6 separate regions of the Mus musculus genome follow, and all the other regions are reported to be linked to region 5. The links are microRNA targets in miRTarBase. Many come from high-throughput screens and were not tested one by one. Region 5 holds a microRNA gene; each other region holds the end of a gene's coding sequence.
What was found. The annotated mature microRNA mmu-miR-709 reads GGAGGCAGAGGCAGGAGGA and lies in region 5 at 1,254-1,272, shown strand. An mRNA with a match to its seed (bases 2 to 7 or 8) in the 3' UTR can be bound and repressed. Matches are read on the target gene's strand: a 7mer-m8 pairs with bases 2 to 8, a 7mer-A1 pairs with bases 2 to 7 and ends in A, and an 8mer does both.

Region 1: miRTarBase lists Sppl2a as a target of mmu-miR-709. Seed matches in the 3' UTR shown: 7mer-m8 at 3,764-3,770, 8mer at 2,477-2,484, 7mer-m8 at 1,111-1,117 and 7mer-m8 at 1,105-1,111.
Region 2: miRTarBase lists Hnrnpc as a target of mmu-miR-709. Seed matches in the 3' UTR shown: 7mer-m8 at 3,556-3,562, 7mer-m8 at 3,550-3,556 and 7mer-A1 at 3,294-3,300.
Region 3: miRTarBase lists Tceanc as a target of mmu-miR-709. Seed matches in the 3' UTR shown: 7mer-m8 at 4,090-4,096.
Region 4: the mRNA of Ncf2 is a reported target of mmu-miR-709. Seed matches in the 3' UTR shown: 7mer-m8 at 1,509-1,515.
Region 6: the mRNA of Car8 is a reported target of mmu-miR-709. The part of its 3' UTR that is shown has no 7-base or 8-base seed match.

The regions. Positions count from the first base shown.
Region 1 is chr2:126,890,340-126,895,571 of GRCm38, forward strand. It overlaps Sppl2a (signal peptide peptidase like 2A), which reads right to left. Exons shown (of 15, transcript NM_023220.2): 15 at 52-3,947. The coding sequence ends at 3,873. Among named protein-coding and RNA genes, the nearest start is that of Mir3473g, 9.4 kb to the right of the region's middle.
Region 2 is chr14:52,070,778-52,076,009 of GRCm38, forward strand. It overlaps Hnrnpc (heterogeneous nuclear ribonucleoprotein C), which reads right to left. Exons shown (of 9, transcript NM_001170981.2): 7 at 4,836-4,949; 8 at 4,478-4,659; 9 at 2,600-4,383. The coding sequence ends at 4,303. Among named protein-coding and RNA genes, the nearest start is that of Hnrnpc, 31 kb to the right of the region's middle.
Region 3 is chrX:166,498,020-166,503,251 of GRCm38, forward strand. It overlaps Tceanc (transcription elongation factor A (SII) N-terminal and central domain containing), which reads right to left. Exons shown (of 5, transcript NM_001007577.2): 5 at 1,793-5,232. The coding sequence ends at 4,299. Among named protein-coding and RNA genes, the nearest start is that of Tceanc, 9.8 kb to the right of the region's middle.
Region 4 is chr1:152,835,251-152,840,482 of GRCm38, forward strand. It overlaps Ncf2 (neutrophil cytosolic factor 2), which reads left to right. Exons shown (of 16, transcript NM_010877.5): 16 at 752-1,740. The coding sequence ends at 864. Smg7 (Smg-7 homolog, nonsense mediated mRNA decay factor (C. elegans)) reads right to left here. Exons shown (of 23, transcript NM_001160256.1): 21 at 5,052-5,222; 22 at 4,785-4,930; 23 at 1,745-4,135. The coding sequence ends at 4,022. Among named protein-coding and RNA genes, the nearest start is that of Ncf2, 38 kb to the left of the region's middle.
Region 5 is chr8:84,084,914-84,088,913 of GRCm38, forward strand. It overlaps Mir709 (microRNA 709), which reads left to right and starts at 1,186; the gene lies at 1,186-1,273. Rfx1 (regulatory factor X, 1 (influences HLA class II expression)) reads left to right here. Exons shown (of 21, transcript NM_009055.4): 8 at 660-754; 9 at 2,793-3,159.
Region 6 is chr4:8,165,521-8,170,752 of GRCm38, forward strand. It overlaps Car8 (carbonic anhydrase 8), which reads right to left. Exons shown (of 9, transcript NM_007592.3): 8 at 4,076-4,245. The coding sequence ends at 4,111. Among named protein-coding and RNA genes, the nearest start is that of Car8, 71 kb to the right of the region's middle.

The DNA of each region.
Region 1 (5,232 bases), not on the chromosome of region 5:
TCATCCGTTCATTTTCAATGACTTTTTCCCATACAAAAGAATACAAATTCATTTTTTATTTTAAAATAAAATTTATTGAGCACACAGTAAATTCAATACACTGAAAGGTTTGTTGTTTTTGTTTTTCTTGTCAGAATTGGCACATCATGATGAAGAGAGCTTAACTTACAGCTAAATTAATACTCCAAAAATTTAAGTCTTAAATCATGTTCCATAAAAAGTCTAATAGTGTTATAAAAATATTAATTTACACTAACTTACATAGAAAAGTGTTAGAAAAAGAATCTCATATTCAAACCAATCATCTAAGAAGTAAAAATCCAATTATGCATTCTTAAAAAGTTACTAATTTGAGTACAATGTATTAGGGGGGAAAGTGGACAAAAAGCTACTGAATTTACACTCACTTGTCCTATGGGGGAAGTTGAAGGCCAACCAGATATATGGTAGGTATTTTTTATGTATATTTCAAAGGAATAGGAACGCTGTTTATAGTATTTGTAATGCCTAGTCAAACCCACCACGTGACGTGCTGAACTGATCAACCACTACATCCTTGAGTTGATCCAGTCTATTTTTCTTATTTACAGAAAACTACAAAGGCTGCTTTAACTAGTGTAGTCTACCCATCGGGAGTCCAACTGCCAGCTCTGAAAGTTCACTGACAGGAATCAAACCGGAGTTCTAGCGAATCAGTTTAACAGACTAGATATATTTTCATCCAATGTAAAATAATCCTGCTTTGACCTAGAGCCGAGACGGAGGAGCTGGACATACTGCTCAGAGGTGGGCGCAGCACTTGCTCAGTGTGTGCACAGCCCTGGATAAGCGCCCCATGACGGAAAAATCGCTTTAGAAATGTGGACATTGACAGAGCAAAGGAACTTAGAAAGCTCATTGGAGTTATTATAAAATGCCACTCTACCCAAACCTGTATGCACAGTAACTAAAATACATGAATGCCAGCAGCATATGGAAGGACAGATTTCCTTCAAAAGGGCATCGAATCACATTCTAGTATAAAGTGTAATTGCGAATTAAAGTCAGCCACAAGCTAGAAGAAAATAAAAATGCATTTATGATTAATATTTTCCCAGCACTCGGGAGGCAGAGGCAGGCAGATCTCTGCATTAGAAGCCCATCTGGTCTACAGAGTGAGCTCCAGGACAGCCAGGGCTACACAGAGAGACCTCTGTCTTGAAAAAAAACTAACAAACAAACAAAAAAAATCAGTGATTTCTATTTGATAAGCCACAAGTGTGGAACTTTCTAGCAAGTATTTTATTTTGTAGTAAATACTAATAAATACAATATATTTTGTTTTAAAAGCATGTTTAAGGGGAAAGAAATCCAACTTATCTACCTCTTAAAAAGTATTGGTGTTAGGTTAGCAAGAGAGGAAGAGATGACAAATTTTCAGAGACAAATTTTCAACTCTGGTATCTATTAGTTTTGATTTCCAAGACAAAGTATTTCTGTCTTTTATTTTCTCTATGGAGGTATTTTCAACTATGTTGCTAGGAGGGCTGTTTAAGTAAACATGAAATTGGCAGTGAGGGTAGAGAGACTCTAGGAAATTCTTTTGTTATTTATAGCTACTTAGTAAGTTGTTTCATTGGCAGTGCTGGGGAAGGCACTTTGAACATGGTAGGCAAGTACTCTAACACTGATACACTCCAGACCATATAGAAGACAATATGATGGCTGGGTAAAATAGAAAATGTTTCCAATAAGTTGGAATTCAGATTTGTAGATGTGTTCATGGTTTTCTGGAGCAAAAGTTTAGATTAGGAAATTAAGATATTAGCTACAAATTAATAAAACCAAATTATTTTGAGATATCATCTTATTTCAATGTGGTTTTAAAAAGAATAATTTTCTTTAATAGTCTCCATAAAATTGTAACTGTTGCTTTTGAATATCGCGACTTGAATGGGAATGCAGATGTTACTAAAACAGCTGTATTTTGGCAGGCATTTTATTGACAGTTGATGTGAAAGTACAGTTAGAATTGTAAATGGCACTTATCTCTTGCCAGATAGCTTTACTGTAAACAAAAGACCCCATCCGGTACCTAGAAGAACGAAGCAGTCCCGCTTCTTTGTCATCTACTCAGCAAAAGTTAACAATTAAACAAAAAAGCATTTAATGTGAACTTTAGTTCAAATATCAAAGGTCTAACCCATTTTTCAGTATGCCTGTTTTACTTTGAAGAAGCTGGCTTTGCCTTAACATGAACGACTGGACTGCTCACGTCTCCTGTGCAATGTTGATACAGAAACACAAAAGCCTGCGCTTCTGCGATGACTTGTCACCTGGTACTTTCTTAGAGAAATTTTAAAAAAACAAAACAAAACTTGAAGATAATTTCACCTCTAATTTCTAGAAAAACACCTGAGATTTTGCAAAGAATCAGACGGAAATATATCTGTGTGTATTTGTTTCTTTGTTTGTTTGTTTTGTTTTGTTTTGTTTTTGAGGCAGGGTTTCTCTGTGTAGCTCTGGCTGTCCTGGAACTCACTCTGTAGACCAGGCTGGCCCCAAACTCAGAAATCCGCCTGCCTCTGCCTCCCGAGTGCTGGGATCAAAGGCGTGCGCCACCACGCCCTGCAGAAGGAAATTTTTTTTTCAGGTTGCAAGCTAGCAAAGTGGTTAAATGAGTGGAGCACTCACTCATTTTAGAGGTGAGAAAAGAGATGGACTTCAGAACACTTGTGGTTACCAGACCTCACTTACACAAGAAGGACTGGAAAGCAGGGTGAAGATGATATAAGTATTGTCAGGATAGTCAAGACAAACAATAAGTTAAACATATACTATCTAGTCAGTTAAGAAAAACATTTAAAAGAAGAAATCTTACTTAATGGAATCAAATTTCAAAGATCAGAAAAAAACAAACTGAAGTTTAATACAGAAGTTTAATCTGTATCTTCAAGTAAACCATAGGAACTAGATAAGAACTAGATTCAGTTCTGGTGTCCTTCTAACAACTACTTCTATGTTTCCTTCGACCTAAAAAACAGTCTAGTAGCATGTGTACACAGATGAAAGAATTTAGGTTCTCAGGTTTAAAAAGGGTTACACGTTTTTAAAAGCTTAAACGACAAGGATGAAGAGATGGCTCAGCAGTTAGGAGCACTTGCTGCTCTTTCTGAGGACCTGGGTTTGATTCCCAGAACACAAAGGGCAGCTGACAACCATCTGTAACTCCAGTCCCAGGGAATCCAACACCCTCCTCTGGTCTCCATTGGCACCAGGCACCAGGTACCAGGCACAAATGTGGTGTACAGACAGATGCATACAGGCAAAACACCCATATACATGAACTGTCTTCTTGCAGTCTTAAGTATTTATTTCTGTAGAGGGGTTAAAAGTTACATAAATCTTTAATATACTCAGAAACTTGCTTTGACACTTACACATGATCTAACCTTAGCATTTGGAGAAATATTTCATTAAGAAAAGTACAAAGGAAGGTCAGGGTAGCTTTTTTTTTTCTTTTTTAGAAAAATATAATGTATATAATTCGTTTGGAAACTACACAAACGCTATGTTTTTAAGCTGACTGTGAAGGCACAATTTTAACATAATTAAAAGAAAATGCATTTTCACTATGTATGATGGGATTTTTACCAACTCATAAAAATATACAGATTTGCAAACATCGCTGTAAATGTTCCCAATTTTCAACTCAAACTTTGATTTAAAACTTGCTGGGCATAGTGTTGTCCAGCTATAGTCCTAACTAAACCTTTGGGAGACAGAGGCAGGACTGAACTCCAGTCCTGCCTCTGTCTCCAAGAGCAAAAAAGAAAAAAAGGCCAAAATGTATTTGTAGGAAATCAATAACACATCATTGTAAGTCCACGTAATTACTGTTGTACAATCTGCTCATCAGTCGTCACTGGATTTTCTTCATTTGTTGAATAGTCCAGGTGGTCCATCACCTAGGCAAAAAAAAAAAAAAAAGATATCAGAAAATGCAAACTGTAAAATGGCCTCCCAGTCTTCATTAATTTAGCAAAAGTATTCTGTTTTTGTATGATGTTTGTGTGTGTTTTGCATATGTGGATGTACATTTGAGGCTAGGTTCTCCGCACTTGTATGCGCATATGCATGGCTATCTTCCTTGGCTGTCTTCCACCCTAGTTTTTGAGACATGCTGTTGCTGAGACAGGAGCTTACCTGGAGCTTGCTAACCAAAGAGAATGTCGCAGGGATTTCCCAGACTGGGGTCACAGATCTACACCACTGAACTTAGCTTTCTTTCTTCTTTTACTTTTATTGTATTAAGACAGTCTGATTTATGTTGCCCTAGGTAGCCTGAGACTAACAGAGATCTACATGCTTCTGCCTCCAGAGTACTGGGATGAAAAGCGAGTCAAGCCTGAGCCCTTCCACATGGCTTTTAAGTGAACACTGAACATCTGAGCTCACACCTAATGCTTGTTCAGGAAGCACCATACCAATTGAGCTATCTCCCCTCCTCACCTCATCCCCCTTTTCCTTTTTATTGAAAATAGATTCTTTCTTCATACAATATATCCTGATTACAGTTTTCTCTCCCTCTACATTTCCCAGTTCCTCCCCACACCTCATGATTTAACTGAGCTACTCCTCAGCTGCCACCACCACACCTATTTTTAACTCTAACACTGCAGACACAGAGGCAGGCAAGTTGCTCTGAGTTCAAAGCCAGCCTTATCTAAATGGTTTGGGGCAGGACAGCCAGAGTTACACAGAGAGACCTTATCTCAGAACTAAAGTAAGAGGAACCTTGGGACTAGAGATGATGGTTCAGAGTTTGAAGAGCTCTCAGTTTGGTCCCCAACATGGGCTTTGGTGAGATCACAGCTGCCTGTAACTCTAGTCCTAGGAGGGGATCGCTTGCCTGATGCCACCAAACCTGTACTAATGTGCACATACACACATACATAAACGATTTAAAAATAATAAAAATAGGGGCTGGAGAGATAGCTCAGAGGTTAAGAGCACTGACTGCTCTTCCAGAGGTCCTGAGTTCAAATTCCAGAACTCACACGGTGGCTCACAGCCATCTGTAATGAGATCTGACGCCCTCTTCTGGTGTGTCTGAAGACATAGTGTACTCATATACATTAAATAAATAAATAAATCTTTAAAAAGTAATACTTAAAAAATAATTTAAAAATTCAAAAATAAACCTTAAAAAAAGAATGATGTTATAGAACCAAGCATTTCTTTTACAACACT
Region 2 (5,232 bases), not on the chromosome of region 5:
ATTGACCCACTGAAGGAGACAGTAGGAAGATTGTATTCCCAGATGGACAGAGGCTATACCAGACATGGGTGTACTGTTCGATCTTCCTTGTGGATCAGATTTTACAAAAGGTTGTTCCTACTGGAGCTAAAGGCAGAACACTAAAATAGCCCTCAGAAGCTGAGACTAGCCCAATATGGGAAATCTGATAGAGCAGAGGAGCAGCTGCAACATAAAAGCAGTTTGAAGTCGGACGTGGTGGCGCACGCCTTTAATCCCAGCATTCAGGGAGGCAGAGGCAGGCAGATTTCTGAGTTCGAGGCCAGGCTGGTCTACAAAGCGAGTTCCAGGACAGGCAGAGCTACACAGAGAAACCCTCTCTCGAAAAACAAAACAATGTAAAAAAAAGCAGTTTGAGGGCAGCCAAAGCCTTCTGAACGAAGCCTTGATAGCAGGCAGGCAGTGTTACGGAAGCAGCTCTGTGCAAAGTTCTGCACACAACATATTTAGCTAAGGTTTTCAGTCACAGACCCTCTACACAAGTTAATAAGGGTCTGGGTGAGACAGACTGGCAGCTGAGTGTGGCTGTCTGTCTATACTACCTCATCCCATTAAGACCACTGGCTGAGAATCAAGAGCGCTTTGGTACATGGATACTTTTTTACATGACTAGGACAGGCAAGGCAGACATCCATAGAAGTCAAAGTCCATAGATTCCTAAGCATTTTTTTCTTTTGTAGGAACTTTTATTGGAGAGGGTTCATCAATCCTTTTTAGCTGCCGCTTTCCTCATGGCTGCCAGTCCGTTGCTCAGCTCCTCCGGCTTTCTCCTGGCGTGGGTGTGCGTGCCCACCCTTTGTTTTTAGAGACAGGGTTTCTCCGTGTAGCCTTGGCTGTCCTGGAACTCACTCTGTAGACCAGACTGGCCTCGAACTCAGAAATCTGCCTCCCAAGTGCTGGGATTAAATGTGTGTGCCACCACTGACCACTCTCTTAATGAACTTGAGTGCGCACTTGTCCTTGGACACTTTGAGCAACTGGAGTTGTCGTTTGTTGGTTGCGAAGCCGCACACCTCCCGGATCATGCTCCGCACGAACTTGGTGTGCTTGGTGAGGCGCGGCTTGCTGTCACCTTGTGGCCCTTGCTGAGGCCCAAGGCCATGGGATAGCGCTGGGAAGTGGGCTGCACTATGAAGTGGGTGGATTCCTAAGCTTTGATGGAAACATTTAAACCTCCCCAACACCCAAGACACAGGGTTTCTCTGTGTAGCCCTGGCTGTCTGTTTCCTATGTATTTCATATATAAAGGTGCAAGGTGTGTGTATATATATCTTAGCCCAGCAGTGGTGGCGCACGCCTTTAATCCCAGCACTCAGGAGGCAGAGGCAAGCGGATTTCTGAGTTCAAGGCCAGCCTGGTCTAGAGTGAGTTCCAGAACAGCCAGGGCTACACAGAGAAACCCTGTCTCGAAAAGACCAAAAAAAAAAAAAAAAAAAAAAAAAAAAAAAAAAATTAAAAAAAAATTTTTTTTCAGAGTAGCAGGGAAATAGTGGCACAGGCCTTAGAGGCAGGTGGATCTCTAGTTCATGAGCAGCCTGATCTAGAGCTAGTTCCATGACAGCAAGGGCTACACAGAGAGAACCTGTCCAAAAAAAAGACACTTTGGTCCAGAATCTTCAGGTAATAGGAAGTGGAGAGCCAATGTGTCTCACTTATGGCTTATGTAAATTTTAAGGTGCTATTCTGTTACTGAGTCAGTACATTTAAATACACATACTCTTGTGTGAGATATGTGGATGAGTGCATATGCCAAAGTGCACATGAGGTGAGAGCTCTCCTTGCACCTTTATATAGGTATCCCAGGAATCAAACTCAGAGCAGGGGCTCACAAGACAAATACTTTTACCTGTGGAACCTTCTTGGTTACCCATAACGACACACAGAAAACTCAAGGTTATCTTGGAATCAAGGAACAGCAGAAACTGAAAAGATTTGGGAATGGGTTAGGAGATACTGCTCTTATATTCCTGAAATTCATAAAACTGTACTACACTCCAAGAGTCAGATCTCATTATAGGTGGTTGTGAGCTACCATGTGATTGCTGGGATTTGAACTCAGGACCTTCAGAACAGTCAGTGCTCTTAACCACTGAGTCATCTCTCCAGTCCTCTACATTATTTCCTAATTCTCTGTATTCCCAACTAGAAAGGAGGCCTAGAGACATGGCTCACTGGTTGGGAGCAGTGACATTTTGAATTCAAATCCCAGCAGCCACATCAGATCTGATGCCATCTTCCACCCCAATCTTTTTTAAAAAACTAGAAATGAACAAAATCTCACAACTTTGAAAGACTTAAGATATTCTCATAGTGGAATAAACCTGTGAACATTTTAACTTGACAAGTTTTAGTATTAACTTAGTTTAATACCACCAGTAAAATATCCTAAATAGTTCTCTAACAATATCTAAATAGTTCTAAATAGTTTCCAAAATAAACTAGCAACAGCAGTTTGAGGGAGGGCCAGGGATGACACCCTTTTTTAGTCACATGCTGGCACTTAGTGTTCCTATGAAGACACAGGCTCCTGAGTCTTTTGCTGATGTATATACCAACTATGAAAAGGGACAGAACCACAGTCTTTATTCTCAAATTTCCCAACTGCTTTTTTTGGGGGGAGGGGGCGGGGGAGTCACCTGAATAAATACAATACCCAATATCAGAAAGTACCCAATACTGAACTAATTGAACCCACCCCAGCATTTTGTACACACCAGCTTCTAACAGCATATTTAAACAGGTTTTATTTATTAGCATCTTTAACCTCTGATATCTAGCCAATTCCTCAAAAACCCAAGACAATATCAAGATTAGGGGAAGGGGCAGAGGGGGGTCACAATAAAAGCCATTTTTATATTTGCACACTGGAGCCAAGGGAAGCCCCTAGATCAGCCTCTCCTCAGTTTTATCATGGGTTACTTTTGCCTACAATGCATAGCATGAAAGCATAGACTTGCAGCTGTATGCTAGATATACACAACAGGGTCTTTTTGAGAAGTAGAAAGTCTGTGTGCATAAAAGATTTGAATAGCCTGCTATACAAAAATAAACAAACAAGCCCCCAAATCTGTTTATACCTTTACCTTATGTTAGGTCTTACACAGCAAAATGTTCCAAGCTGACTCAAACAAATCAAGAAAAGGGGTAAGAGTACTTCACATGGGTAATTATAACTCTCGTTATAGACTCAGTTCTTAGGAAGGCAAATGCTATATAAAACGGGAAAGACAAATGCTTTCCTATTTTGAAACTTTTGAGGCACAGGTTGAGAATGCAATAAAGAAACCTGGGTTTTAATCAGTAACTGAACATTCAAGCACTCCGTGTCAAAAATATTTAAAGTTAACAATGCTCTCAAAATGACTTTTATTCATATATATTGGTATGCATGAAGATTATATTTAATACAACCTAACGATTTGTGGAGGCTGCTATTAAAAAAAAAATGTAATTGAAAAACTTTCTTTCCAGCAGGGTGTGGTGGCGCACGGCTTTAATCCCAGCACTCAGGAGGCAGAGGCAGGCAGATCTCTGAGTTCCAGGCCAGCCTGGTCTACAAAGTGGGTTCCAGGACAGCCAGGCCTATATAGAAAAATCCTGTCTCGGAAAAAAAAAAATTGTCTTTCCTTCAAATTCCTGGTTTAATAAGGAACTGTTTATTTTTGAGAAAAAGATCCCAAACATCAGGCTGTTCACAAAAATAACCCATGGTATAACTTTAGAAAACAAATATTAAGACTATTACACTATTTTCCTGTAAGATGCATTTGACATGCCAACTCCCATTCACAAAAATACATGGTTACATTCGTGTTGTAACAGTCCCACTCACGTGAGGGAAAACACACACCTCTAATGCAAAGCTGCTCTTGGGGTTACAAGTAAATGAGATGCCTCTGCAGTTAGGGAAGCAACTACTGAAGTCATGAATGGGAAGAACTGTACTCCCTGCATAACAAGAGATTATTTTGGAGACAGTTGATAAAAACCATACAACTTTTTATTGTTAAGTCAAAGAGGTATCAAAATTAAAGCAAAACTTACAGGGTGAGACTTAACGAAAGTACTACGGAGCATCAAAGGAAGTGGAACTGTAACTAGGCGCAGGGCAATCATGAATTAATGAACACAGGGAGGGTAAGGCGGGACAACAGTGAGAATGTGCAGAAGACCCCAGGGGAGATGACCTGGTGTTACTTTCATCTCCCACAAACGCCTAGGTAAATGAATAATGGGATAAGATTTCTAAGCTCCACTATGTGCTTAAGAGTCATCCTCCCCATTGGCGCTGTCTCTGTCGTCTTCTCCTTCCTCAGGCTCTTTTTCATCATCCTTCAACTCCAGCTGTGAGAAAGACACAAATAAGGGAGAGTTAGAGGTACTCTTCTCATCCCTGGACCCCAGTCCTCCCAACTTTCTTTTTTCCAAAGGTAATCACCTGGTCATCCCCCCGATCTTCATTATCGTCATCATCCAGCAGGTCACCCTCCTCAGCAGAGTCATCTGCACCTGCCTCAGACTCCATCTTCACATTAGTCTCATCTTTCTTCACAGAGGCGCTGCTCTGCTCTTCTTCAGACTTTTCATTCTTCATCTCTACTGGGGATGAGAAGGACAAGTCTGTCCAGGGGCAAGTGTTGCCCACAGGATATAGACAATTCCCATTAATCATCAAAGAACAAAAGTAAAGTTTTCCAAATAAATTAATGCCCCTTCCAAACAGCCCAATTTGCATATACATTAAACCACCTTAGGAAGATAACCCAAATTCAATTAGAAAATTAAAAGACTATTACCTGCTTGCTTGCTTTGTTCTTTTTCAATTTTTTCCAGGCTTTCCAGAAGAGAATCCACTTTTTGTTTTATCTGAGTCAGCTCCTTTTTAATGGCCTGAAGGTCATCACCTTTCACTGTAACAGAACTACAATGTTAGACTAGAATAAAGCACCATTTACCAGTTACTGAAAGTGTTCTTTCTAGGTGCTGTGCCTTAGGTCTCAGAACCACAGGAAGAAATGTTTTTCTAGTTAACAATTCAAAAAGCTGAAAGAAATACAGAGGCACCAACTGCAATAGTAACTAGTAATCTTTAGTCAGCAAATGATTTAAAAATAATTTTTAAAAAAAAGCTATAAATGCCTTACATAGTATCACTTTAACCTAAACATGTATTTTCCTGACCAAAAAAATATC
Region 3 (5,232 bases), not on the chromosome of region 5:
ACGATTGTACTCAAGCCTTCACTTTAAAAAGTTGTACGAACAAAGGAGGAAACCTTCCCACATTCAGCTATTAAAATGGATTTCCCACCCTATGCCGTTACCATGGAGACTGGGGTACAGGCTATATGTATTTAGTGCTCACATTCTGCACTGTTATTTATCTGATGATTGGCCACAGGGAGGAAATTTTGGATTGGGCATATTCTATGAAACAGACATTTGCAAAACTGCAAAGGGGTCCATTAACCATCAGGATGCAGCCAAAGTATATTTTTCCTTTTTTTATTTCTCTCTCTCTCTCTCTCTCTCTCTCTCTCTCTCGAGACAGGATTTCTCTGTGTAGCCCTGGCTGTCCTGGAACTCATTCTGTAGACCAGGCTGGCCTCGAACTCAGAAATCCGCCTGCCTCTGCCTCCTGAGTGCTGGGATTAAAGGCATGCACCACCACCGCCTGGCTTATTTTTTTCTATACTTTAATTTGACCATTGTTAATGGTCACTTATTTGGTGTTCCTGCATCCATCCTTGTTTCTCTCATCACTCAACAAAGCAGCTACAATGGTCTTCCTAAAAGGCACTCAAATCCCATGACTACAAATCACCTAAGTTCAATAATTTTTTTTAAACACAAACCACCCTAGACCCCCAAAGCCTCCAAGTCCTTATTGTTATCATGACTTACAATGGACCTCAGGAACTCTGTGGAGTCCTTTACATCATGTCTCATTCACATCAGCTGTTCCTTATTAGCAGGCACCTTCCCGGAATCTTGGAGTCCTCAGAATTGCTCTTTGCTCCTATAAGGGCCATTTTAAATTAGAATCTGCCCCATCAGCAATTGTAAAAAACAAAAACAAAAACAAAAAAAAACAAAAAACAAAACAAAACAAAACTCCTTTGGCTGGGCAATGATGGCATACAGCTTTAATCCTAGCACTTGGGAGGCAGAGCCAGAGAGATCTCTGAGATTGAGGCTAGCCTGCTTCATTTACAGAGTGAGTTCCAGGAAACCAGGACTATATAGAGAAACCCTGCAACAACAACAAAAAGAAGAAGAGGAGAGGGGGAGGGGAAGGGGGAGGGGGGAGAGGGAGGGGGGAGAGAGGGGGAGTGGGAGAGAAAGGGGGAGAGAGAGAGGGAGAGGGAGAGAGGGGGAGAGAGGGAGAGAGGGAGGGAGAGGGAGGGGGAGAGAGGGAGGAGGAGAGGAGAGGGAGAGAGAGAGGGAGAGGAAGAGGGAGAGAGAGAGAGAGGGAGAGGAAAGGGAGAGAGAGAAGGAGAGGAGAGGGAGAGGAGAGGGAGAGAGAGAGGGAGAGAAAGAGGGAGAGAGGGAGGGAGAGGAGAGGGAGAGAAAGAGGGAGAGAGGGGGGAGAGAGAGAGGGAGAGGAGAGGGAGAGAGAGAAGGAGAGGGAGAGGAGAGGGAGAGAGAGAGGGAGAGAGAGGGGGAGAGAGAGGGAGAGAGGGAGAGGAGAGGGAGGGGGAGAGAGGGGGAGAGGAGAGGGAGAGAAAGAGGGAGAGGAGAGGGAGAGGAGAGGGAGAGTAGAGGAGAAGAAAAGAGAAACTATTTTCTCTCTTTTAGGGAATAAAAGAGTGAGGGGGAAACTTCTTTCTCTTTTTAGGGGATAAGACACAGTGTAAAATCATTGTCTATATTTAGAAAATGTAACTGTCTCACTGACCAAAAGAATGAAACCTACATCACCATTTCCCTATCTCTTGTTGCAAAACTAACTGACAGAGCTTATGGGAAATAAGGAAGATCTCATACAATTAAAAAAATATTGGAGAATAAGAGATTTTTACATTTCAAATACTTTTATTTTTGGTAAATGTAGCTTACAAAATCGCAATATAAAAAACAATACATAGTTACATAGAAAATCCAAACATCAAACTGATTTAGACAAATGAAACAAGGTTTTTATAGGCTGTGTGTGCTGCTCTTGCACAACCACTGTCTAGGTTTTAAGATCATTCCAAGTCACATGAAACCACATTTTGGGAAAGCTTTGAGTTGTTGATGACTCTGTAAGTCACTCTGTAAAGGACTAACACATTGCACCATGGTGAACCACCCTGGAATGCCATATGGAGAAAATATAACAAAATATAACTCAGACTTGACAGCTTCAAGTTGATTTCTTCAAAAAACCTAAAACAGAAATGTTTGCTAGTTTTATGCAACTATTGGGGAACTGTCATACGGAGGTAAAAATATAAAGAAAAGCCTACAGATCCCAATGAAGGAATACTGGGGAGTTAGGGGATAATAACTAGTTAAAATATGAGTTCATATGGAACTAAGATAAAAACTCTTTAATATGATAAAATCAATGAATGGTGGCTTACACTGCCAATCATAGCACTCTGGAGGTTAAGGCCAGCCAGTGTGAGTTTGAACCCAGCTTAGGCAACAGAGTGAAGCTAGTCTTATAAAAATAGAAACTCTTCACATATTGTTGTCAAACAACAAAAGAGAAAATGTATATCTAATCACCTGATTAACTGTAAAAGGAGCACATATATGCAAGGTTTTGTGTTGATTATGTATAAAATTGTTTTACATGGTAAAAAAAAATCAAAACCCAGAAAGACAATCATTTTATTATTTTTAAGGAAAAAAATTAGTCATGGTCACATAAAAAGGCTTGTGAATAAGCATACAAATCAGTAAACACTGTTTACAAAGAACTAGGAGACGTGATTTTCTCTTCAGTTAGTATGTAAGTAAATGCTGAGATTGAAGGAGAGACTTCCTCTAACAACTAGTGCCATTTTCACATGATCAGAATTTGAATTTCAATCCCAACACACATGCCTCTGAAGGTATATAGAGTCCTAACATTAAGGAACTATATATCATACTTTTTGAAGTGCTCAAAAAAAAAAAAAAAAACAAAACACAGGGCATTCAACTAAGGAAGCAGGCTTCGAGCCAAATTCTAACTTACACTGCAACTTTTCACCAGTCAAAAGAAAATGAGAAAATTAAGGACAAAAGAGTAAAACTCCGGTCACATAAGCTTAGAGGTCCCAAACACTATTTGCTTAGCACCTATTTCCAAGAGTATACTTCTTACAAAGTCAATATTAAGTCATCCTCAGACTGAATATTTTTGAGTTTGGCAGTGTTTCTCTATCTAACTCAGGCTGCCCTCAACTATGGGATTCTGCCTTAGCATTCCCAACGCTATGATTACAGGCTTGAAACAGGATTCCCTTTTAACAGTTTTGAGACAGGAACTTTGCAAGTCAAACTGGCCGGAACTCACATAAATCCCCTGCCTCATTCTCCCTAGTATTTGGACCACAGGCATGTGCCATCACACCTGCTTGAGAAGTAAGCTGGAAAACCTGGGATCAGTGTGAAGCCGACTACATACAGTTGTGTAACCTGGGCAAGTGGGCTGCTTTCCTCATCTGTAAACTCCAGAATAACATTAATTTCTTCAGAACTATAGAAAGGCTCAAATGAGAGACTATCTACAGGTAGTTCCTAACTCTAACTGCAACTTAACAGGAACCAAGAAATGACCAGAGCAGTGTTGATTACTGGGTCCAGGCCATAGGTTCATATTGAACTGTATAGGCTTGGCCCTTGGCACCAGTACATTTCAATGTTCTCCAGAAAATTCTAATATATAGTCATTCCTGAGAACTTCAGGCCTAATGCTATGTATGTCAGTGATTCTCAAAATACCCCAGAGGATAACCTGGGGACTCTGTTAAAATGCAGATCAGGACTTAAGGAGCAAGAGTTTCATCTCTAACATGCTCTCAGGTAGTGTGGAGCTACAGTGCCACTCTGAGTAAAGCACTAAGTGGCCACAAAGTAGTGTGATAGCTTTCTATGGCCTACACTCTGGCAAATAACTCTCTTTCCTTAGTCTTAGGGTTGTAGTAAGAGCAGTATATAAAGCCAGGTGCGCCTATAATGCAAGCACTCATGAGACTGGGCCACCTTTGGCTATATAATGACATCTTTCATGAACTAAAACCCAAAGGCAAAAATAAGATTAAGATTTTGTTAAAAAAAAAAAAAAAGAGCACAAGCCGGGCAGTGGTGGCGGACACCTTTAGTCCCAGCACTTGGGAGGCAGAAGCAGGTGGATTTCTCAGTTCGAGGCCAGCCTGGTCTCCAGGACAGCCAGGGCTAAACAGAGAAACCCTGTCTCGAAGGAAAACAAAAAAAGAAAAGAAAAAAAAAACAAACTAAAAACAAAACAACAACAACCAAAAACCAAGCACAAAAGGTTAGGTTATACATATAAAACATATGCCCTTAAAAGGATTATTTACAAATCACAAGCATACCCAGTTGTTATGGTACCACTGCTCCCCACATTCATTACAAATGACATAGGTCATTTGTTCATCTGGGTTTGAATTCTGCACCCAACTTGGAAGGAAAAGTGTTCCTCTGGCAATCACAGTGACCTTGCAGTTGTATTTATCACAGCGCCTACACTTAATTTTATTTGTCCATGTGCCATCAACTGATTGGGGAAGGCAATGTTCTTGAATGCTGGATTCTGTGTAGGAAGCTCTCAGTTGCTTGAGTTCCTGGCTTGCCATGTCCAAGACACTCATTTCAGCAAACTCCCTTGCAGACATGGTTCCAGAGAGGAAGTTTTGTTGTAAATGAAAATTTCTGGGGTTTTTCAAATTGGCAACTTTGCTTCGAATACTAGTTTTATATTTTTTGATATTGTTTGAATGAAGGGTAAAAATGTGCTCTTCAATTTCTCTTGCTAAGTTCTGCCATATGTGCACTTCTGTGTGATCTGTGCAAGAACTAGCTAATGCTGTGTAAAGAAGTTCTACGCACTTAGATCTCACAGACACTAAAGTACCTTGAAACACACCTGAGCTCTTGCGAGTGCATTCAGAGTCATCACCCTTCAAATATCCTTCATTAATTTCCATTTGAGCAGTGCTACTTTCAGATCCAATTGCTGCAGCAGGCTTTGCAGCATCTTGGGGTAACAGCCTAGAGAGAGAACTGCAGAGACCCATGATCTCACTATGGCTAGAGCCTGAGGTTTCATCCTGGCTTACATCCTGAGAAACTGCTGCACTTTCTTCTTTATTAGCATTTGTGTGGAGTACTTTAGGGCTTTGCCTTGGTTTGCAGTGTGTACTCTTATAGAAACCTCTCCACTTGGCCAGCAGACACTTGGCCTTCTTCTTTAAAGTCACTGATGGGCAGTTTTTGAGGACTCTGTAAACAGCTCTG
Region 4 (5,232 bases), not on the chromosome of region 5:
GCAAAACCAAAGGGCAGACAAAGGAAAACACCAACTCTTAGCTAATCTCTTCCTAGATTTTGGTAAGAGGAGGCAAAAGCAAATGCGTGGCTTTCTCCTGTCCTTGACTTTACTAGGCACAAAATGATGACAACATACTGACTGTTCCAGAATGTAACTGGCTGGAACTATTCTGTCTCTGCTAGAACCCATCAAGTACTTTCCAGAGAGAAGGGGAGGTCCATTCTGCTGCAGAGGCAGCCAATTGTCAGTGACTTACCTGACTATTAGGAACCTAGGGATTACAGGGTAACATGGGCAGGAAGGGTACCATTCTTGTGAAAATCTGGGTGTGGCCACCATTCATTTCATTAAAAGCCTAAAATAGCTATTATAATGCATAGTTTTTACAAATGTACTAAACCTATCACTAGCTCCAATTTTTAAGGCCTTGATGAACCTTATGGCGCTTACCACCATGCCCTTTCATGTTATCAAAATGAATTCTAGCAGAGCTCAGATAAAACTACTTCTTAAAAACAATTCTGACCTGAGGCTTCATGTTCAGTCTTATTCATTCTACATTTTACTGTGTATTTATTGCATCCACAACAGAACCCCGTTAGATGGTAAGTCTAATATTCAAATTACTTTCCAGTTATTTTGCTACCATAAATGGGAACAGGGGATGACTAATAGGGTCAATGGACCACTCACGATGGTACAATCTTTCCCGTTTTTAGTAATCAGTGTATATTTTGCTTTTTATCAGTGAATGAAGAATGGCTGGAAGGGGAGTGTAAAGGGAAAGTTGGCATTTTCCCGAAGGCTTTTGTTGAAGGATGTGCAGCCAAGAATTTGGAAGGCATTCCCAGAGAAGTCTAGGATCTACAAAGCTGAAGCAAAGTGTTGTTTTTCCCCTTGCAAGACTTACCCATCTCTGCTGTGCGCTATACAGACACACCAGTTTGGAAATGTGGCCTAACTTACCATTTCCCTATTAAAATTGAACCTGTCACACAGCAATATGACAACTCAGAAGATTTTCTTACAGATGGAGGAGGGGGAGACAAATTTTCTGCAAAGGAAATGAAGGTTTGTGTGTGTGCTGGCTACGTGAATGTACTTAAGAATTCCCAGAGCTGCACACCAATGGGCACACCTTTCTGCTGGGAAAACAGGACACCCAGTGTCCAAGTCCAACAGTTCAGTGGAAAAATAATTAATAAAGGGTTCTTCCTTTATTAATTGCTTGGGTTCCAGAAGCTTAAAGCAAATTTATATGTAATCCTGAAGGTACACACAGACAACTCATTAAAAAACTTAAGCTGCATTAAAGAAAAGGCAGATTGAATCAGGTTCCCATGAAGCACACCATCCAGTCCCAAGGAGAATGGAACTCTTAGAATGACAGCCCTTTCTGTCCCTCAGATGGACAAACAGGAAGAGAAATCAACCACCCCCCAGATCACAGCCATCACTGTTGGCTTTCATCAGATTCAATGGCTTTTATAGGCCAGAGGATGCCTCTGCCTCCCAAGTGCTGGGATTAAAGGCATGCGCCACCACTGTCCAGCTATGGCAGACATTTTAAGCTAGCATTTCTAGAACAAGTCACTGGATGCTAAGAAAAGCAAAACCCATCCCCAAGCCTACCCAGTTGTGGCCATTTTTGTTTCTTGCTGACAAGTGAGCAGTTGAAGTTCTAAGCTGTATTTTTACTGCTATATCCTTTAAGGTAGAATAAATCCTCTACACACCGATCTGCTTGGAGAGAACACGGTTTAATTAAAGGCAAAGCTGATTTCAGCAGCTGCAGATCTTGCACAGACAGACAGACAGGGGGGAAAAACAACCCCAAATCAAATCAAATCAAAACAAAACACGAAAGTTTATTACACAAAACCAGTTGATGAAGATTCTCCTCCCCTTCTTCATTACCCCACAGTGAGGATGGCAAGGCGAGGAACCCCGCCGAGAGAGTCATAAACATTCCAAACACCAAATTCTCATGCAGACTGGGGCTATAGCTGGGAAGTGGGTACTGCAGGGAGGGAACTGGTAAACCTGTTGGCTGGTCTAAGGTGCAAGAATCAGTGACATTTCCAACCTCGGAATGCTGCAGCTGTCTGAATGCAGAGCTTACATACACAAACTGGGTGAAGGTAGCAGGGAAGGGACAGGGAGAGGACAAAGATGGACACAGGGAGGGACTGGAGCAGCACAGACAGTTTCTTTTGCCATTTAGTGAAGGGTTTCACTTTCAGACCTTTCAAAAACAAAACAAAACAAAAACCAAAACCCAAAAAACAAAACAAAAAAACAAAAAAACAAAAAAAAAAAGAAAAAAGAAAAAAAATCCAAATACCATGTCAAACTAAAAGAGCAATAGAGTAAGCCTGGGGCTTCAAGCACTCTTTCTGAAGAGCAATGAGCAATACCTTACCCCATCTCATTTCGGGGCTGCCCAGACCCCAGTGACACCTGGGGCTCCTGGATGTGCTTTGCTCTACAGCTGTCCTTCAGCTAAGCTCCACACTATTTCCCACACTTAGCCCTTGCCCTCTGGGAGAGTAGAAAGCCATGTGTGGGACACACACGCGCGCACACACACACACACCTCCCAGAAAATAATCCCTACCCTAGCACAGCAATTGGACATTTAGATTGTTTCCATAATTTCCCATTAAAATATTACTTTTCCAGGAAATGACTAACAGAAATGCTGTCCGTTCTTCTGTTCCTACACAGAACATCTTCAGTCCTCTTTCCTCCTAATATAAATTATCAAATAGAGTTTATTCCTTTCTCTTGCCCTCTCCAAAGTGGCATCTGCTGTGTTTTCTTCTGTGCACAGTGTGCATCTGTCTCTGTGGCCTTCAACTTCATCCTCGAGGTGAAGGCCAGGAGCTGTGACTGGGCATAGCCCGGCTCCTCTGCAGTGACGCTTGCACTGCCGCTTCCTTCCTCTTCAGACTTCAGGCTTTTGGGCCCCAAGTGCTGGCCCCATGCTGCTGTTTCGTGGTGAGATGTTGTACACGGTAGGAAGAAAACAATGACTACGGTACAGCATATGGCTAAAGGGTGGAGACTGATGCAAGAGGCTGGGAAGCAGGATGGGGACACAAAAACCAACTCAACAAAAAGAACCACACTGAAAGCATCCACCTATTAAAATGGGTTCCAGGCCGTGAATGAACTAGCCTGCCTTCTGAGACTGCTTGCTACGCTACTGTAAAGTGTAGGAATCCACCACATGAATTTGAAATCGTACAGCAGCCATCTGCTGGTCTAGGCCAGCAGCACTACCCACACTGCATCCTCTATTGGGGCTCGAGCACCTACAGAGTGAAGGGCATTTCCTGCTGGAGTTTCCAGGCTGGAGGAAGGCCTCTCCCAGAACCTTCTAAGAGGCCTTGTACCCTCCCTATGAAACACTCCCACTGGCTTAAGAGGTCAGTTCCCTGTCCTGTCACCACTGACCTCTCACAGGAGCAGCAAACGGGACTGTCTTTGCTCCACACTGACTAGAAATACGCCTGTGTATGGAAGAATTCAGTGTGATATTTTGCTACTGAGAGTAATAATAAAAGATGTTTAAGAATAATTTCAACTACATTCTCAGTCAGCAAAGCACTCATAATGGATTCCTATTTTATTCCCCAAAGAGGAAAAAAGGACTGAGAAGTTCCTATTGGTTTCTCCCATCTGCCTTCCCTTCTCAGCTTCCACTTCCCACGTGTTGGGGACATGCGCGGTGGAGAAGGTGAGAGGCGTGCTATCAGTAACCGAGTGGGACAAACAGCAGCTCCTCTCTCCCTCCGGAAAGCCCCGGGGGAACGAGAGTTCCTGATGGTTTTTTCTTTTTGTTGCACTGCGAACATTTCGTGCACACTCAGCGGGCTGGTGGAACACTTACACCCTCTCGACAGCAAGAAACAGACAAGAGAGCTGCCACCTGCAGAGACTGTGTGGGTCAGTCCTGCAAACCCAACATGCCATGGTTTATGGAGCCTTCATTCCCTGGGTTGCTCCTGTGGCCTCAGTGTGGAGGGTTCATGGCACCTTGTCCCCGCTGCTGTTTCTGCTTCTGCTGCATTAACAACTGCTCCAGAGCGGAGGGCCCAGGATGCATCATGGAACTGGACCAGATAGACTGAAAAACAGCCCCAAAACTTGTCAGCAGAAGGCAAATGCTTTGGCTGTCTGACAGGGATTTGTTTTAAATCTCAGCCACCCATAAAGACAAATTTGTCCTTTAAATCCACTCTAAATGCCAATCAACTCAGCTCTATTAAAAGTCATGGAACTCTCAAGACTAGACAGTTCCTAACTAAGATAATTTTGACACTATGAACAGTGGAATACAACTTTTTAAACCCCAAGCCAAGGTTATTCCTCCTACTCCGACCACTCTTTTGGAATTACATGCACCAACATGTCCAGCCCAAACTATGTTTTAAGTCAAATCAACTATGTTTTAAGTCAAGTTCATATGGCATGACAGTAAGTTTAATATAAGGTTTCCAGCAAACAAAACATTGTAGACCAGGCTGGCCTCGAACTGAGAAATCCGCCTGCCTCTGCCTTCCAAGTGCTGAGATTAAAGGCCTGCGCCACCACGCCCAGCTTACATACTCATTTAATAAGTCAAATAAGGCTAAACTCAAACTTAACAGGATTTAACATTAGGATGAAACTAAATGCTCTAGCATTTTGGATGCCCTGACAACACACTCAAGACGCCTCTCAATCCGGGATAAAAGCAGAGACACTGCTGCAGCAGGAGCCACGTGAGCACTCACCTTTAGGCTTTCCATGAGGACAGCAGAGGAATCCTCCATGGAGGGGCCGTGGCCTGTCCAGGTGCCACTCGGAGTGCTAGCCTGATGCCAACTGCTCTCAGATGATGACGTTGCTGAGAGATAATCAACACCAAAACCACCCATGGCTAAGAGATAACAATAGGTAAGAATACAAAATGTTTTGTAAGTGGCAAATATCAAACTTCAGGCAAAAATCAGAGCAAGCCACCCCCCTTTGCCTTGTAGATAAAGAAATGTGGATCTCACCTGGTTTATCAGTTTTCCACCTATCTGCAGGCCGCCTATCCCTGTTATCTGGAGTCCCAATGGGTCCAAAATTAGAGAATGGAGCAGAATTATGGTTATGCGTTGGAGGAGAACTGGGCAGGCTGCTTGGGTTAGAGGAATGAGGAGACTGGCTGGCTGGTGTCGAATGATCTGTTGAATA
Region 5 (4,000 bases):
CGGAGGCACGGCAGGGGGCGGAGGGCGGGCAGGGGAAGGGCATTCAGCCCAGCAAGCCGCTTTGCCTCGCCTTCAAGTCCAGGCTCCCAGGCTTCGCCCCTGCAACCCAAGGCGGGTGGGGTGAGATGTCTTTACCCTGTCCCCCAAAGTGCTGCCAGTCATTCTTGTTCTGCCTCAGGGACTGGGTCCCAGACACGGCTCCTGCAAACCAGGGTTGGGGGTGGAGGTAGGCTATCCAGTACCTGCCCCTAAGGTGTTGTCAGTTGTTTCTAGTTGTTCTATCAACTGATCCCTCTTCAGGCTCCACCCCTAATCTGCTTGGGAAACCTTTTTGGTTTCCAGAAAACCCCCAGGCCCGGTTTTTAGATTGCAAACCCACCTCTCAAGCCCATTGCAGAATTCTGTCTGGTATCCCCTCCTTTGCTCATAAGCCTTAGAAACCTCTTTGCCAAAGCAGAGAATCCCAGCACCTCCTGTTTTCCAGCCACAACTGAGACCTGGCCCCACCTAAGCCTCCTACCTAAGCCTCCCACCTCTGGCCCATGTTGTTCAGAAAACCATGATGTGCAACCTTCTAGATGGGGATGTATGTGGGCATCAGTGAACCCGTGGGTGGTGGTCAGCCCTGACCCATGACCCTGCTTTTCCTCCTGCTTCAGGTACAGCAACTCCCTCAGGTGCCTGTCCCACACGTGTATTCCAGCCAGGTGCAGTACGTGGAAGGTGGCGATGCCAGCTACACAGCCAGCGCCATGTAAGTGGGCAGAGGGTGGAAGGAGGGCTCAGATGTGGTTAGGGCCACAATTCTAACTCCCAGCTGGCCCCCAAGGCTCAGGTGATAGCCCCACACCTGTGGGGTGCCAGGAATATAGGCAGCTGGTAGCAGAAGAGACACTGGCCCATTGGGAAGGCACCTCCACAAATTAGGAGCTGTGCAGTTAGATGGATCTGGATTTTAGGCAGGAAAAGGGGAAAGAAAAAGCATACATATATGTATTTATACATACATTTTTACAACATAAACTTTTTTTGAGACAATGTCTCTCTGTATAGCCCTCACTGCCCTGGAACTTGATCTGTAGACCAGGGTAGCCTTGAACTCAGAGATTTGCCTGACACTTCCTCTCTCGTGCTGGAACCACAGGTTCTCAATCTGACCCTCAGTGTCCCACAGAGTAATTAGTGTGTCCCGTTTCTCTGCTTCTACTCAGAAGTGCTCTGAGCATAGAACTGTCCTGTTTGAGCAGCACTGGGGAGGCAGAGGCAGGAGGATTGTCTTTTGTTATATTGACTTATGTGTGGGGAGAGTGCATGTGCTGTGGTGCAGGTGGAGATCAGAGAACAACCTAGAGGAGTCCGTTTTCTCTCTCCTTTACACAGGTTGCAGGGGCAAATCCAGTTCCTCGGGCTTGCATATTCTGTCTTACAATTTTTCTTGGGGGTTAGGGAGATAAATCAGTAAATGGCTTGCTTCTTGCTTATCAGACCTGAGAAGCAAGGTCATGACCTGAGGTCAGAACTCAAGTACTAGGTAAGAGGTTCATGTGGTGAGTCTCTGACCCCAGAGCCACCTTGCTGGCCCTCGTGTGTGTGTGTGTGTGTGTGTGTGTGTGTGTGTGTGTGTGTGTGTGTGTGTGTGTGTGTGTGTATACACATGTGTTCGAGTGTGTGCATGGGATGATGGGGGGGGGTTGTATGCACCATGTATTGAGCGTAGTGCCAATGCTAACACTGGAGTCTGTTTGCTGTGTGGCTTTGGGGATCAACCCCAGGTCTTCGGTCTTGATGGCAAACATCCCCACCCACTGAGCCACCTGCAAGGCTCAAGTTTTCCTGCTTTAATCACTGTCACATTGGGAGGGCTCAAAGAGCAAAAGTGAGAGGTGGCCCTGCCTGTCCCCTCCCCACAGAGAGCCTTCTGCCTACACACAGGGTGGTCTTTTCCTCATCCCAACCTCTCGTTTCTGGCTGTCCATCGGTACCCAGTGGAGGACTCAAGGCAATCATGTTGCGTCTCCTCTTCCTGCCTCACCCCCTCTAGTCTGCAGCCTGCAGAGATGGGCCCAAATGTTAGGGTGGCTTGCTTGCTACAGTTGCCCCTCTTAGATCTGCGGCTTATTACCCTATGCGGCACTCAGGACATATTCTGAGTTGGAGGGGCAGCTCCCTGCCAGGAAGAGGTAGCCAAGGCGGCCCCTCTGCCTACCCTGCAGTCCTTTGTACTTTGCCTTCCCTCCTGTATCTCCCTTCCCTGGACTGAGAACTGTTTGTCGTTGTTGCCGAGGAAGTACGTTCTGCATTCTGGACCCTGTCTTGTTTTCTCCTCTTCTGCAGTAAGGAAATTGATTCCTGTGCTGGAGTGCAGTGGTTCAGTACCAGTGAGTGCTGTGGCTCAGTACCAGTGAGGAGAGTGATTCCTGTGCTGGAGTGCTGTGGCTCAGTGCCCAGCGAGGGCTGGTTCAATGGCTCAGCAGTGCTTGCTGCCGGGCTTTACAGTCTGAGTTCAGTCTCCAGGACCCACAGTGGAAGGAGAGCCCCGCCTCCCACAAGTTGTCTCTGACCTTTGTGTGTATGCCACGGAACACATGTGCCCCTCTCCAAGTAATAAGTTAATATAAAGACATGTTTTAGAAAACAAGAAAGTGGTTGCCCATCCAGTGCTCAGGCTGTCCCCAGTCCCTTATATGTGAAGGTGCCACACTGGTGTTTCTGTGGCTTCTCTGGTCCTCTCCTGGAACCCCTGCCTCCTTGTACAAGGTGGTGACCATTGCTTCCTGTCTGCTTCTTGGCAGCCGCTCTAGCACCTACCAGTACCCGGAGACGCCTATCTACACGCAGACGGCAGGCACCAGCTACTATGAGGCTTCGGGCACGGCTGCCCAGGTCAGCACGCCGGCTACTTCCCAGACGGTGGCCAGCAGCGGCTCAGTGCCCATGTATGTGTCCGGCAGCCCAATTGTCGCCAGCTCATCCAGCAGCGAGGCTGGGGCCAGCAACAGCAGTGTGGGTGCAGGGGGCAATGGGGGAGGCGGCAGCAGTGGTGGTGGCAGTGGCGGCAGCAGCGGCAGCGGAGCAGGCACCTACGTGATCCAAGGCGGCTACATGCTAGGCAATGCCAGCCAGTCTTACTCCCACACCACCCGTGCCTCACCAGCCACAGTAAGTGTTCGCCTTATTCAGAGGTGAGGGTGGGGGGAACACTCGAGAAAAAAACCTGGCAGTACTCAGAGAGCAGAAGTTTGGCCCAAGGCATAGCTCAGTGATAGTGCTCATATGACCTAGGGCCTGGTCTCATCTGTGGTGTTGCCTTAGGTGTTGCTCAGCCACTCTGTACCTCAGCTGCTATGTGAAGCTCTGAGGACAGTTGCAGAAATGCCCTTAGTCAGAACTGGTGGTGGCTTGATAGGAAATGAGAGATGGGAGCTCCTACAATCACAGTGGCAGAGCTGAAGTCAGCCCAAGTTGGGCCCATTATCAGTCAGGACCATGGATCAGGTCAGAACACTGCACCCTCCACATGGCAGCACACCCTGGCTGCTGGTCTTCACTAGTTTAGTCTATTTAATAAACCACTGCTGCAAACCTTCTGATTTCTCAACCCTGTGGGTCCTCTGGTGCAGCGAGCAGGTCTGCTGAGAAGGTGCACGTTGTTTGTGCCTGGACTAGACGCCTCTCACCTCGGTTACTGTTGCACCCAGGTGGCTAAGGTCCCTGAGGATCTGTGTTGTGGGCTTTTCCTTTTTCAGTTTTATTTGAAAGACTTATAGGCTCACAGGAAGCTATAAATATGGTACCAAACCCTGGTTGGGTGGCACGTGCTTGTGTGACCCCGGCACTGGGGAGGCAGAAGCATGAGTGGGTGTGAGGCTCCAGAGTTCCGAGCTGGTGAGGGGTACCCAGCGTAGCCTTCTTTCATGACTCAGTAGGTAGAGGCCCTGGCTACTAAGCTTGATTACCTGAGTTCAATCCCTGAAAGCCTCGTGCTGGCCAAGACCCAGCT
Region 6 (5,232 bases), not on the chromosome of region 5:
AATTTGTGCTCAAACTAAAATCAATCTCAGTGTTCTGCTTCACCTGACCCACTGTATCATCATAAACACAGACATGTATGTGTAAAATATCACAATGAATACTGTTAATCTGTGCGCTTGATGTGATAATAGCTGTTTTAGGAAGACCAATAAAGCCCAACAGTGCTGGTGGTGTGAAGGACCTGGAGCTTTCTTTCTGGTGGGATTGAAAGTACTTTGAGAAACAACTGGGTAGCCATTTGTAAAGTTAAACAAACACCCTTCTCAGAAGTGTCCAGTCATCGTACCTGTAGCCCTTTCTACGAACCCCAGCCCCAGCAACATGCATCCTTCATTGCTAAGCCACTCGCATCACAGTGGAGACCTTCTCTGACCCCAGCCTAAGGGTGTGAAGAAAAAGGAGGCCAGCCAAGCTGTGTATGTCAGCTTTTCAACCTCACTGTTCAAGCAATGAATTTCCTTTAGGCGGTGATTGGCCTGGCTTTCAATTACCTCTACTATAAAGTCCCACGTAAGATTCCATAAACACTTAGTGAAATAACCCCTCTGATCCATTTGAATGCCATTTTTTCCTCTGTGACAAATATTTTCATATCTCACACAGACTAATTTTCTGATCTTGTGTGATGCTTCATTTTGATTTTCAACATGACTAGATTAAGAAATGCCCAGGAGATTAAAAAGCTCAGCACTGTTTGCAGAGCATTAGATCACAGGGGCTCAGACCAACCCAGTGTATTAATATTTTGGTAGATTCCTGTGATGGAGAGGATGAGAGGCAGGTGCAATGCCTAGTTGGAGGACACATATGACTAGAGAATGGCTTTTGAGCTGTATCCTGGCCTGGCCTCTCTCTGTATCTGCTTCCTGTCTACCATGAAGGTCCTCTATCACAAGGACCTAGTACCATCATGTTCTGCCTACACAGACAGAGCTGAGCACCATGGACTGAACTCTTTGAAACTATAAGCTAAAACAACTTCTTAGTCCTTAAGTTGTTTCTGTCAGATAGTTGGTCCGAGCAATGAGAAAATTGACAAGTGCGTCTCCACACCTGAAATTTTAGCAAGCTTCCTATACAAGCCCACTATTATGATGGACAGGTATCTCCTTGTCAACGTACTCAAACTCTTAACTCTTTATTTTTCTCATCCCAAAATGGCCTCCTCCACTTTCCTGCTGTTATTCAATGGTATTCTAAGCATGGCTTCCTAAGACCCAAACCTCAGCATTTAATCTGACAATTTTTTTTAACAGATCTTGCCTGAGTTTATTTGTAAAAATAGCATAGGACACTGGTCATCTGCAAATAGTGTGTGGCTAGGTGTGTCACAGCAGTCTACCTGTCCTCACACTGGCAGGAGCCTTTTCTGTGGGGCCTTCACAGGGGCCTGGACACCTTTGGGAGCTGAAGCCTGGGTCTTAGCTGGAGCTTTGGCCCATGTCTTGGTCTGAACCTTAGGCTTTGGTTGGCAGAGCCTTTGGCCCTTGGCCATGCAGCTTTGAATCTGCTTCCCAAGCTTGGGGTGAGCTATGAAAGCCAGGCAGCTGAGTTTGCAGCTGGGGCCCTTTGGCATCTTGGACTTGATGGCCTGACGCTTCACCAGGGCCTTGATGGCCTCTGCGCGCGCACTCACTGCCTTTGCATTCATTGTTGGCCTGCATCTTCTTCAGGCCTTTTTTGTTGTGCGTCTTGGCAAAGCACATGTTCCTCAGGAACTTGGTGCTAACCCCCTTAAGAGGTTCATATCTCTGTGACGGGGATTTCTTGATGCCATTTCTGTACCACTGGCGGGACTGGTTGTGTGTGGTGTGATTCTTGGACTTGGCCATGTCTGCACGGTAACCTGAGGCTCCCTAATCTGGCAATTCTATCTCCTTCCACCTTTGCCTTACCCAGTTCATCAGTGGATACCGTCTATAATTTCTATGTCCTATGCATTATTTACTCTCCATTGCCACTGCTTCCAATCTAAGGTCTGGGTCTCCATGTCCATCATTTTGGCTACCCAACAGATTTCTAAAATCTTTCTGCTCCTGCTCTGGTTCACTTTTATTCAATCTACTCTATTTCTTCTTACGGTGTGCTATTAAAGAGACATGGGATAAAGTTACTCCCCTGAGTCAAGGTCCTTACAGGTTCATGATACATCCAGAATAATATCAAGATACGTTAGTGTGACTGACAACATCTGCTGCGTGGGTCTCTCATACTTCAGCCTCTATTTCTCTATTCTAAACACACCAGGCTTTCCTTCAGGGATCTCAGTGGACCTATGCCCTGCCTCCTCCACAGCAAGCATGCCATGAGGCCTTTGCAGAAAGATATTTTCCCTTCCTGGAAGTTCCTTTGCCTCTTCCTGAGCTCTTCTCACTCATATGAAGCATTACTATTTGCAACTGTGTATTTTTGAGCACTTACTACTCTATTGTCAACTTCTTCCCTCAGATTCTAGATTCTGTGAGGGCAGAACCATGTATTTCTTTCTGGGTACACCCACAACAGTCAGAAAAAATGCTCAATAATAACTTTGGATGTAACTCATTTTACTTCTTCGGCTTATCTATTTTGAAGTTTGGCCTATAGCACACTCAGACTTTCTCATCTAAACATCTGAATTACTATACTTTTCCCATTGCTAGCAATGGTGGATTTGCCGGACCTTCATTGTCTCAAGTTAGAGGGAGTACTACACTGGCCGGTTGAGAGATGAGAATACCTGAGGCTGACTGTTCTATACGTGCATTCTGAGAAACTACTAATTGGCCTGGAGACAAGCCAGATACAACACATCATGTCTTATAGCGGATTCATGATGAAACAAATCAATCCCAACCCACAGAGATACAATAGAAAAATAAGAAAGACGTAAATAGCTATATGGAAGATGGGTCAGGAAATGAAGTAAGCGAAAAGCATGAATCCCTACTGAGACTGGTGTTTAAGCTGAGCTCCAGGCAGTTGAGAGGTCACATAGGCAAAAGGAAGGATGTATAGTATAGAGTGAGCAAAGCATACTCCAGAAAGCTAAAGTCTCCACTACAGACTAAAAGCAGAGAGAAGAGAAGACTGACGATATCATTGCCTTTTGAAAATCTCCATCAATAGCGGTCGGGCAGGTCATGAGACCGTGAGCTTTTCAAGGCTTGAACTTTCCATTCAACTGTGACTTCACAGTTGTGCTATGTTACTAATACAACTCACATATCAGGACATACTCTCAAGGGTTCATCACCAGTCCCAGCTCTGTCCTGTTCCTTCAGGTTCTGTTGTAGCAGAGGTGTCCCCATTGTGGGAAGCAGCTGTCTGCTACAGTTTCTCTGACCAAAGCACACTTAGGTGGCTTACAAGGTAAGGAAAGATTCCAATACATAGTAACCTTGTGTTTTTTATCTTTCTCCTGTTTGTGAACTTCTTAAGCATAAGTAATAAATATGATGAATTCAATATGTCATTCAATAAAATAATACTATTTAAAATATATGCCTCTTCAGTTAGCAAATAAAAAGCACTTCTAAGAAGCAAACAAAAGAGAGTAAAAGGGCAGGAGCAACATGACCAAAGTAGGTCATATACACGAAAATGTCACACATAAACCTATTATCCTGTATAAGTAACATATGCTAACAACAAAGACTTCTCCAGGACTTTCAGACATGCCCAATCAGCCCTTCATACACCGCTGAACAAATGACCCTACAAGGTGCTAAACAGGAAGGCTAATTCTTCTAGGCCTTTCATGCTCCATGATCACAGGAAGTTGCTGCTGTATCTTCAGATGACAAAGTGAATGCTAAAGAGACCGCTGCAAATTCCTGCCTCTTAACCCCACGTGTTCTTCCTTAGGAAAGCCACCAGTAAGGCAGAAATTGGGATCAAGGATTTTCAAGTGAGAAAATAAAGATTTAAGAAAATATATTGCATGAAACGAAAGGACTGCCCTGACTTGTGACTAACGGAGCCAGAGGATGCACCATAATGTCTTACAGTGACATGCATTTCAGCAGTCAGTCTGTAGAATGACTTTGGGATGCTGGGCTAAGGTGTCTCACTTCCTTGTCTAATTTTACATACACTGATGCAGATGGGTTTGTTCCCGGTCTCTCTGGCTACTGAAAGGCCGCTCGGATGACTCTATCACTCAGGGGCTGGGTAGGTCGGAAATTGTCTCCCAAAATCCCATCGCAGCCCTCCACCAGTTCTGCCCCCTTGACATGTGTCCTCAGCCTTCGAAATTCTTCTATCTGGAAAGAGAAGCAGAATAAAGAAGATTAGTCACTAACCATACATATGCAAGTTCAGAATTTCATAAGCAATTTAAAATATCCATAAATTATAGTATAAAAGAGAAAATGAAAGGTGAACCTCAAAAACAGAAAAAGAGAACTGGAAAAAAAAACCCAGTGGTTAAGAAAGCATGCTGCCCTTGCAGAGGACCTGAGTCCAGTGCCCAGTACCCACAATAGGGATATAATCCCCACTTCTGGCCTCCAGGGGTACTGCACACACACACACACACACACACACACACACACACACACTAAAATAATAATAAATCAAAAAATTTTAAGCCAGTAAGACAGATTTGGTTGTTCCAGACCTAAGGATATTAGACAAGGGCCTTAAAAGAAGACAATAGGAAACCGGGTAATTCCATTGTCTACAGAAACCTACTAGGTTTGTTAATGTGGAAATCCAACCACACAAAATTTTTGTGTCAGCTTACTACACACAGAGAATAAGGGGGAGAACAAACGAGTAAATGCTCTGAGCCTTCCCGAGGGCATCCCTAGCTGACCTGCTCTGACGTCACTGGGTGTGAGATGATTTGGTGTTAGATTTGCTGTGAGATTGCATAGAATACTCAAAAAAAAAAAATCCAGATATTCATCTGATAGAGCATTAGAGCCCTGAACATCTAAAGTATTAGCCCCCCCCCCCCACCAAAGAAACCTAAATATTGAGAAAATAAACAACCTAATCTGAAAGTGACCCATGGGACCTGGAGAGTCTGCTCAGCAATTGATAGTGTAAACTACTCTTACAGAAGACCTGTTTTGTCCCCAGCATTCCTTTTAGTGGATTCAAAACCATCTGTAACTCCAGCTCCAGAGGGCATGACACCCTCTCCTGACCTCTGATGGTACCTACACTCACATGCACAAACCCACAAGCAGACATGTACATTTCATTTTAAAATAAAATACTTTCTAAGATGGGCTATTAACTAA